Linked DNA regions of Macaca fascicularis. The protein of the gene in region 2 purifies or fractionates together with the protein of the main gene of each other region. This does not show direct contact. Links are inferred from orthologs where the notes say so. Each region holds a gene or a part of one and is shown on either strand. Other genes may lie near its edges.

Region 1 (4,453 bases), about 69 Mb from region 2:
AAAAATGCTGCTGGGAAAACTGGATATCCACGTGCAGAAGAATGAAACTACACCCCTATATCTCACCATATACAGAAATCAAATCAAAATGGATTAAAGACTTAAATCTAAGGGCTCAAACTATTAAACTATTACAAGAAAACATTGGGAAAACTCTCCAGGACATTGGACTGGGCAAAGATTTCTTTCAAATACCCCACAAGCACAGGCAGCCAAAGCAAACTTGGACAAATGGGATCACATCATGTTGAAAAGGCGCTGCACAGCAAAGGAAACAATCCACAAAGTGAAGAGACAACCCACAGAATTGGAGTAAAAATTTGCAAACTATCCATCTGACAAAAGGTGAATAACCAGAATATATAAGGAACTCAAACCACTCTATAGGAAAAAAAATAATAATCTGATTCAAAAATGGACAAAAGATCTGAATAGACATTTCTCAAAAGAAGACACACAAATGACAAACAGGCATATGAACAGTTGTTCAACATCATTATCGGAAAAATGCAAATCAAAACTACAATGAGATATAATCTCATCTCAGTTAAAATGCCTTTTATCCAAAAGACAGGCTATAACAAATGCTGGGGAGGGTGTGGAGAAAAGGGTACACTCACGCGCTATTGGTAGGAAGGTAAATTAGTACAATCACTACAGGGAACAGTTTGGAGGTTCTTCAAAAAACTGAAAATAGGGCTACCATATGATCCAGCAATCCCACTGCTAGTATATACCCCAAAGAAAGGAAATCAGTATATCAAAGAGATATCTACATTCCCACGTTTACGGCAGCATGTTTCACAATAGCCAAGATTTGGAAGCAATCTAAGTGTCCATCAACAGATAAATGGATAAAGAAAATGTGGTACATATGCACAATGGAGTACTATTCAGTCATAAAATATAATGAGATCCTGTCATTCACAACAACATGAATGGAACTGGAGGTCATTATGTTAAGTGAAATAAGCTAGGCACCAAAAGACAAACATTGTATGTTCTCACTCATTTGTAGAAGCTAAAAATTAAAACAATTGAACTCATGGAGTTAGATAAAATAGAAAGATGGTTACCAGAGGCTGGGAAGAGTAGCAGGGAGGGTGTGTGTGTGTTGGGGAAGGTGGGATGGTTAATGAGTACAAAAGTGGAGTGAATTAGATCTAGTATTTGATAGCACGATAGAGTGACTATAGTCAATAATTTAATTGTACACTGAAAACTAAGAGTATAATTGCATAGTTTGTATCACAGATGATCAATGCTTGAGGTGATGGATGCCCTATTTACCCGGATGTGATTATGACACATAGTATACCTGTATCAAAATATTCCATATACCCCATAAATATACCTACTATGTGCCCACAAAAGTTAAAAATAAACTAAAAAAAGAAGAAAAACAAAATGACACAAAGGAAAATAAAAAAGAAAAATAAAAATAATGAGTCAGGCACGGCGGCTCATACCTGCAACCCCAGCACTTTGGGAGGCTGAGGTGGGTGGATCACCTTAGGTCAGGAGTTCAGTTCAAGACCAGCCTGACCAATATGGTAAAACTCCGTCTCTACGAAAGATACAAAAATTAGCTGGGAGTGGTGGTGGGCGCTTGTAATCCCAGCTACTCAGGAGGCTGAGGCAGCAGAATTGCTTAAACCTGGGAGGCAGAGGTTACAGTGAGCCGAGATTCTGCCATTGCACTCCAGCCTGGGCAACAGAGTGAGACTTCCTCTCAATAAATAAATAAATAAATAAATAAAAGGCATAAAATTAATGGCAAAACAATTAATGTCAAAAACAGTAATTACTTTTACACCGATCAAATAGTTTGTTGAGTAAGTTTATTCTTGTTCTGAATAACAAGAACTCCTCCATTGTTGGTCCATTGATCCAGTGAGACAGAAGGAGACACTAAGTCCCTAAAAGAGGGAGTGAAAATTGGCAAGAACCTCATAAAGCTGTTGACAGTTCTACTCTCATCATGTCCATTCCTGCTTAAACCCTCAGTGCTCATTCATCTCCTGTCTGGTACCAACAGGCCTCCATGCTGCTGAGAAATTATAGCTACTTTTTACCATGTACCTTCCATGTGCCAGACATACTTCATGCTTTGAATATATCTTCATTAATACTTCCTATAACGGCAGATGTCAGGTGTATATAGGTATGTAGGTGTATACGTATATACACAAGCATGTGTATATGTATGTATACACACAGAGCAACAGGAACTGTGGCCAGCACTCCCTGGGCTCTTTTCTCAGCTGCTCCAAACTTAGTTTAGTTCCTGACAACACTTATTCTAGGGCAAAGAATAATTTTGAATACATTTCTGGTTGAACATCCTAAACAGCCTTCCCCTCTCACCTCTGGAGGACTTTTGGACCTGGGAATCTCCAGAATTGCAGACCTCCCCGACATGAGCTCCCTACCCGTCCTGGCTAGGCTGTAGTCCTGGCTCTCCCAGCCGCACCCAGCCTTCATCCCAGGTCACGTGCCAGCATCGGGGCAGCCGGGCCCCTTCCCCTTCTGGGTAACTCGGCAGTCACGTCCACAACCCAGCCTCCTCCCAGGAAGGGGGCAGCCGGGTCCCTTCCCCTTCTGGGTAACTCGGCAGTCATGTCCACACCCCAGCCTCCTCCCAGGTAGGGGGCCAGCGCCGGAAGCACAGCTGGTCTTGGGTTGAGGGATCCCTGGTGCGAGAAGGGGCAAATGGGACCGGCTCAAGGATGGAGACTGATTGAAGGGGCTGGGCAACCCTGGGGCAGGGGAGAGAGGTCCCCTAGGAGGGCAGGGGTCCCTTGATCTAGTGGGGTTCACTCACCTTTACAGGGGACTCAACGCTGGTAGCCAGCTCCCTATTTCACTTTCAGTTTCCGCTCAGAGGCAAGTCTGAGAGGAAAGGGGAGGGAGGAGGAGGAGAGTGGGAGGAGTGAGGGAGGAGCAGTGGGAGGAGCAGAGCCTTGAAAGCCTTGTGTGGAGAAATGCTGATGAGAAGCAAGAGAGGTGGGAGGAGAGAAGGTAGAGAGGTGAGAGGAGAGAAGTCAGAGTTGGACTGGGGGAGGCTTCAGAGGCTCTGGACGCCCAGGGGGCTTCTCTGAGACTGGTAAGGAGTGGAAACTCAGTAGCCCGTGGTCCTGGGTGCGCGCTCCCTCCCATGTCTTCATTATCCGGTTTGGTAAAATATCTACATGACGGGGGAGTCCGGGCTACTTTCTTTGACACTGGTCATCACCCCACACCTAGATGCTATGTGCATGTCTGGAAGCTGCTTTTAAGGAAGTTTCTGATGCAGAGGAGTGGCCGGTGCTCTTCCTCGCGTGCCACCATCTGCTTACTTCCAGAAGCTAATTATTTTCATGTGACTGATGTGACTAATATTTTTTTAACACTTGCAGGTGAGTGATTTATTTCACATGACCCCAAGGTAAGTGTCCCACCAGTGAGTGGTGAGAAGGGAATTGACATTTGACAATCAACTGTGTTCTTGTCACTGAGCTAGGGACATTCTCAGGTTATATTATTTTTATTTTTAATCGTAAAACATACAGAATATAAAATTTACCAAAGTAATTTTTTAATTTTCAATTTTGTGTGTCTATAGTAGGTGTATATATTTATGGGGTACATGAGATATTTTGATGCAGGTAGAGCATACAATCCGTAATAATCACATCAGGGTAAGTGGGGTATCTGTCCATCACCTCAAGCATTTATCATTTGTGTTATATACAATCCAATTACATGCTTTTAGTTATTTTAAAATGATAAATTATTGACTCTATTCATCTTGTTATGCTATAAAACACTAGATCTTATTCATTCTATGTCATGTATTTTTGAACCCATTAATCATCCCCTGCACCCTTGCCCCACTACCCTTCCCAGACTTTGGTAACCATCATCCTCTCTATCTTAATGAATTCAATTGTTTTAATTTTTAGCTTCCACAAACAAGTGAGAACATAACTGTTTGTTTGTTTGCCTGTGCTTGGTTTATTTTACCTAACATAATAATCCCCAATTCCATCCATCTTGTAGCAAATGAAAATTTCTTCTTTTTATGGCTGAAGAGTACTCCATTGTGTATGTGTACCATACTTTCCTTATCCATTTATCTGTTGATGGACACTTATATTGCTTCCAAATCTTGGCTACTGTGAATAGTGCTGCAGTAAACATGGGAGTGCAGATATCTCTTTGATATACTGATTTCCTTTCTCTTGGGTATATATCTAACAGTATTTCTTCTGGGTATATATCTAGCAGTATCCAATAGGGTTGCTAGATCATATGGTAGCTCTATTTTTAATTGTTTTTTGAGGAACCTTCAAACTGTTCGCTTTAGTGATTGTACTAATTTCCATTCCCATTTACAGTGTATGAGGGTTCCCTTTTCTACATATCCTTGCCAGCGTTTGTTATTGCCCTTCTTTTGGATAAAAGTCATTTT
Region 2 (4,387 bases):
CGCCGGGCCCACAGCTGTGGCCCCCGAAGCTCCAGCTGCAGCCCAGGGGCCACGTGCCTCAGCAGTTCCTCCGTGTAGCGCAGCTGCTTCTGGTCGGGGAGCTCAGCAGGGCTGGGGAATGCTACCTGCTGGGGGTCTGTGGCCCGGACAGCTGGGTCTGGGGGGCCGTACAGGAACATGCAGCTCGGGTGCCCCACCACCTTCTGCAGCACTGTGCGGCCCTTGTACATGATGGTCACGTCCAGCGCCCCTGGGCTGGGCTCTGTGTGGAGACCAAGCTGTGAGCGGCAGAGGTGGGCAGGGACAGGCTGTCCCCTTCCCAGGACCCACTCACCTTGCACCACAGTGCAGGCACTTGGGGAGGGTGCCAGGTATGGCTCTGCCTGGTGCGGGGGCTCTGGGGCCGTGGCCTCGCCTGCATCGGGAAGGGAATCCTGTGCTGGTACCTCATCCCCAGCCCCTCCCTGTGCCCCAGGCCCCCCAACCCCTACCCCTCTCACCTGTCATTAGCGCCGCGGGCTGGGGCCCGGGGCTAGGGGTTGCTTCTACTGCCCATGTGCACAGCTCCCCAGCAGGGAGCCCTGGACCTGAGGAGGGGAGGTCAGTGGGAATGTGGTCCCTTCCTACTTCTCCAGCTCCCCAATCCCCAGCCCCCTTCTTAAGTGTCCGTCCAGGTGCACTGGCCCCTCCCATGCTTTCCCCCCACACACACACCCCTCCACGGCACTGCCCACACCTCCAGCACAGGCCCCAGTCAGGGGAAGACCCTCTTGTCCCTCTCCAGGAGCCTGGGCTGGGACTGGGTCTGCCCCCCATGACGCTGTCAGCAGATGGTCCGCCAGGCAGCTCTGTTGCACTGCCTGGAGCAGGAGGTCCCCCTTGTCACCAGCTGGGGCAGGGAAGGGGCCTGGGGCTTGGAGTCCAGCATCTCTGTGTGCCAGGAATGGCCCTGGGGGCCTGCCCTGTAAGGAAAAGTCAGGGTCAGCATAAGCAGCTCCGCGGCCTGGCAGGAGGAGAGGCAGGCAGAGAGAAGACTACCTGCGGTGGCCGGACAGCCGCGGGGGCCTCTGCCTCAGTCTGGTCCGTGCCTGGGCCTTCTGAGGGAGAATGGGGCAGGTGTTAGGTTCCGAGACCAGGGTGAGAGACGCAACAAGAGCCTGGCGTAACCCGCACCAGCTTCCTTGTGCTGCGGCCTAAGGAGGTGGGTATGCGGCTCCAACTGTCCTGGGCCTGCTGGCAGCCTCTCCCAGAACGGCTGCTAAAAACCCAATTCTGATCCAGAGAATGTTCTTTTTTTTTTTTTTTTTTTTTTGAGACGGAGTCTCGCTCTGTTGCCCAGGCTGGAGTGCAGTGGCCGGATCTCAGCTCACTGCAAGCTCCGCCTCCCGGGTTCACGCCATTCTCCTGCCTCAGCCTCCCGAGTAGCTGGGACTACAGGCGCCCGCCCCTGCGCCCGGCTAATTTTTTCTATTTTTAGTAGAGACGGGGTTTCACCATGGTCTCGATCTCCTGACCTTGTGATCCGCCCACCTCGGCCTCCCAAAGTGCTGGGATTACAGGCGTGAGCCACCACGCCCGGCCCAGAGAATGTTCTTTCCCCAGGCAGGACGAATGCCAACGCGCTTGGCAGCCGGCGTCGCTCACCTCGCCAGCCCAGCTCCGGGCTCAGCGCGTACACCTTGTGCGGGTCGGCCGGGTCCCCCGAGTTATCTCGCAGCATCACGAAGCGGCGCGTGCTGCGCAGTGCGCAGCGGAAGTTGGTTTTCCAGCCGGCGCGCTCCGCAGCCTCGGCCTCGGGGGGCGGCGGGTCACCTCCTCTGCTGCTAGGCGGCCACCTGCCGCGGGCCACGGCCCAGGCCTGAAGAGGGGGAGAGAACACGTGGGCTGGGCCCGCGGGGTCCTAGGCGGGTCCTCCCACCCGGGACGGGGCCGGGGTCCCACCTTGAAGATGCGCGCGTCAGCCTCGCTCAGGTCCTTGCGCGCGAAGTGCTTCCAGGGCACGCGGAAGCAGGTGCGGGCCTCGTCCAGCCACTGCAGCCCCTCATAGCAGCCGCTGCTGATCTCTCCAAGGAGCCACTCTCCGAACAGCACGCGTGGGGCCGCCCTGCGGGTGCCCGGCCGCGGAGAGTCAGGGCTGGCTGCAGGGCGCTCGGGGACGGGCATCTGGAGAAGGTGGGCCGGGCTCTTACCTCTCAGGAGCCAAGGCCATTGCTCCCTCTGCAGGGGCAGTTGGGTGGCGGTCAGGTGTTACAACAGGGGAGGTAAGGGCTCCTGTCACTGCAGACGCCAGGCCGCGGCCACAGGTCGTGTGGCCAGGTGTCCACAGGTGTGGCCAGGTGTCACAGGTGGTGGGGGTCACAGGTGTGGACTGAGGGCTTGTAGCCACCGACGCTGCCTCGGTGTGGATCTCTTGGCAGAGGGGGCTACAGGTGTGACTGCAGGTATGGCTGGCGCGCACACGTGAAGTCACAGGTGTTGAACCAGTGTCCAGGCCTGCCGGGCCGGTGCAGGCCGGACCCTGCGGAGACGGGAAAAGCCACGTCGGGGGCGGGCCAGGCTTCCGAGAAAGCGAAACTTAAAACAGTGGCGCTTCCACCCTCCCCGATCCCATCTCCGTCCGGTTCTCATCGCCGCAGAGCCCCGCCCCCGCCTCCGCCCCGGGCCCCACCCCCGCCCCCGCCTCCGCCCCCGCCTCCGCCTCCGCCTCCCTCACTTCCCGACCCTCATCCATCAGGCTCCCCCAGCCCTTGGCTCTACCCCTCCCGGTGAGTCTCTCACTCCCGGACCTGCACCGCGTGGGTCCGGGGTCCCGAGTACCTGGGTGCCACAGTCGCCGGGGCGGGAGGTTTCTTACCGCGGAGAAGCGGAGGGCCGGCGCTTTTATGGTGTCCGGGCCGGGGGCGGGGCCCAAAGAGCTGCAGGTGCAACCAAGGAGGTCACGTGACCAGGCGGGCGTTTCCGGGAAGGGCGCGCGCGGCCAGTTCCTGCTCTCGAATGCGACCAGCGGAACCCCGTCCGGGGCAGCGCGGAGTAGGGAGTGGCGGCGAGGGGGCAGCGGTGGGCCCTGTCTGCCTGTGTGGCTCGGCCCTGCAGGGTCCAGCCGCTTCTCTGGGAAGTAGCCCCTACACGCCTGGGGCCGGGGCGCCGGCAGTCATCGGAGGTGGGGGACACAGTGGGATAAGGCGGGGACTCCCCCAAACGTAAGCGAAACCGGACCCGAGGCAAAACCAGGCCCTTCTTGTTGTGCTTTTTTTTTTTCTTTCTTTTTTTTTTTTTTTTTTGAGGTGGAGTCTCGCTCTGTCGTCCAGGCTGGAGTGCAGTGGCCGGATGTCGACTCACTGCAAGCTCCGCCTCCCGGGTTCCCGCCATTCTCCTGCCTCAGCCTCCCGAGTAGCTGGGACCACAGGCGCCCGCCACCTCGCCCGACTAATTTTTTGTATTTTTAGTAGAGACGGGGTTTCACCGTGTTAGCCAGGATGGTCTCGATCTCCTAACCTCGTGATCCGCCCGCCTCAGCCGATCACTTGAGGTCAGGAGTTCGAGACCAGCCTGGCAAACGTGACGAAACCCAGTCTCTACTAAAAATACAAAAATCAGCCGGGCGTGGTGGCGCAGGCCTGTAGTTACAGGTGCTTGGGAGGCTGAGGCGGGAGAATCACTTGAGCCCAGGAGGTCGAGGCTGCAGTGAGCTGAGATGGAGCCACTCCACTCCAGCCCAGGGGACAGAGCATGACTGAGTCTCAAAAAAGGGAAGTGGGTAAGGGGAGGTGGATGTGCCTCTAAAAAGGGGCAGCTGCACCGTTTGGGTTCCTTTTTTTGAGATGGAGTTTCGCTTTTGTTGCCCAGGCTGGAGTGCAGTGGCACAATCTTGGCCCACCACAACCTCCACCTCATGGGTTCAAGTGATTCTCCCGTCTCAGGCTCCCGAGTAGCTGGGATTACAGGCATGAGCCACCATGCCCGGCTAATTTTGTATTTTTAGTAGAGACGGGGTTTCTCTAAGTTGGTCAAGCTAGTCGAACTCCTGACCTCAGCTGATCCACCCGCCTTGGCCTCCCAAAGTACTGGGATTACAGGCGGGAGCCACCATGCGGCCCCCTTTGGGTTCTTTAGATTGTTCAGACAAGAATATCAGACGCTCTCGCAATTAAAGCATTTGGAAAGGAATTAATAGTGTCTTTTCATCAGGGACAGTGCTGACGACCCACAAGGGACCCCTTGATGGTTCTGGGCATGGGTGGCCAGCCTGGGCTCTGGCCTTGGGAGAAGCGACCGGGAGGTGTCTCTCACCCCTAGGCCTCCTGGTCCGGCTCCTGCTCAGGCCACTCGCGCGCACCGACCCCCGCGTGCCTCAGTCCAGGCCTCTGGGTGGGTGTTTAATGCTGCG

The links.
Region 1: the proteins of IRF7 (region 2) and TRIM21 purify together in Homo sapiens (affinity purification with mass spectrometry; 3 studies listed by BioGRID, with this or other methods). This does not show direct contact. The link is inferred for Macaca fascicularis from reciprocal best matches to the Homo sapiens genes IRF7 and TRIM21.

The regions. Positions count from the first base shown.
Region 1 is NC_088388.1:70,002,355-70,006,807, reverse strand, and holds the start of TRIM21 (E3 ubiquitin-protein ligase TRIM21), read right to left. Parts: upstream 2,872-4,453; 5' UTR 2,825-2,871; intron 1-2,824. UniProt on the Homo sapiens protein: E3 ubiquitin-protein ligase whose activity is dependent on E2 enzymes, UBE2D1, UBE2D2, UBE2E1 and UBE2E2.
Region 2 is NC_088388.1:515,050-519,436, forward strand, and holds the start of IRF7 (interferon regulatory factor 7), read right to left. Parts: upstream 2,856-4,387; 5' UTR 2,732-2,855; coding exon 2,714-2,731; intron 2,519-2,713; coding exon 2,190-2,518; intron 2,105-2,189; coding exon 1,942-2,104; intron 1,859-1,941; coding exon 1,645-1,858; intron 1,098-1,644; coding exon 1,039-1,097; intron 963-1,038; coding exon 737-962; intron 588-736; coding exon 501-587; intron 416-500; coding exon 335-415; intron 263-334; coding exon 1-262.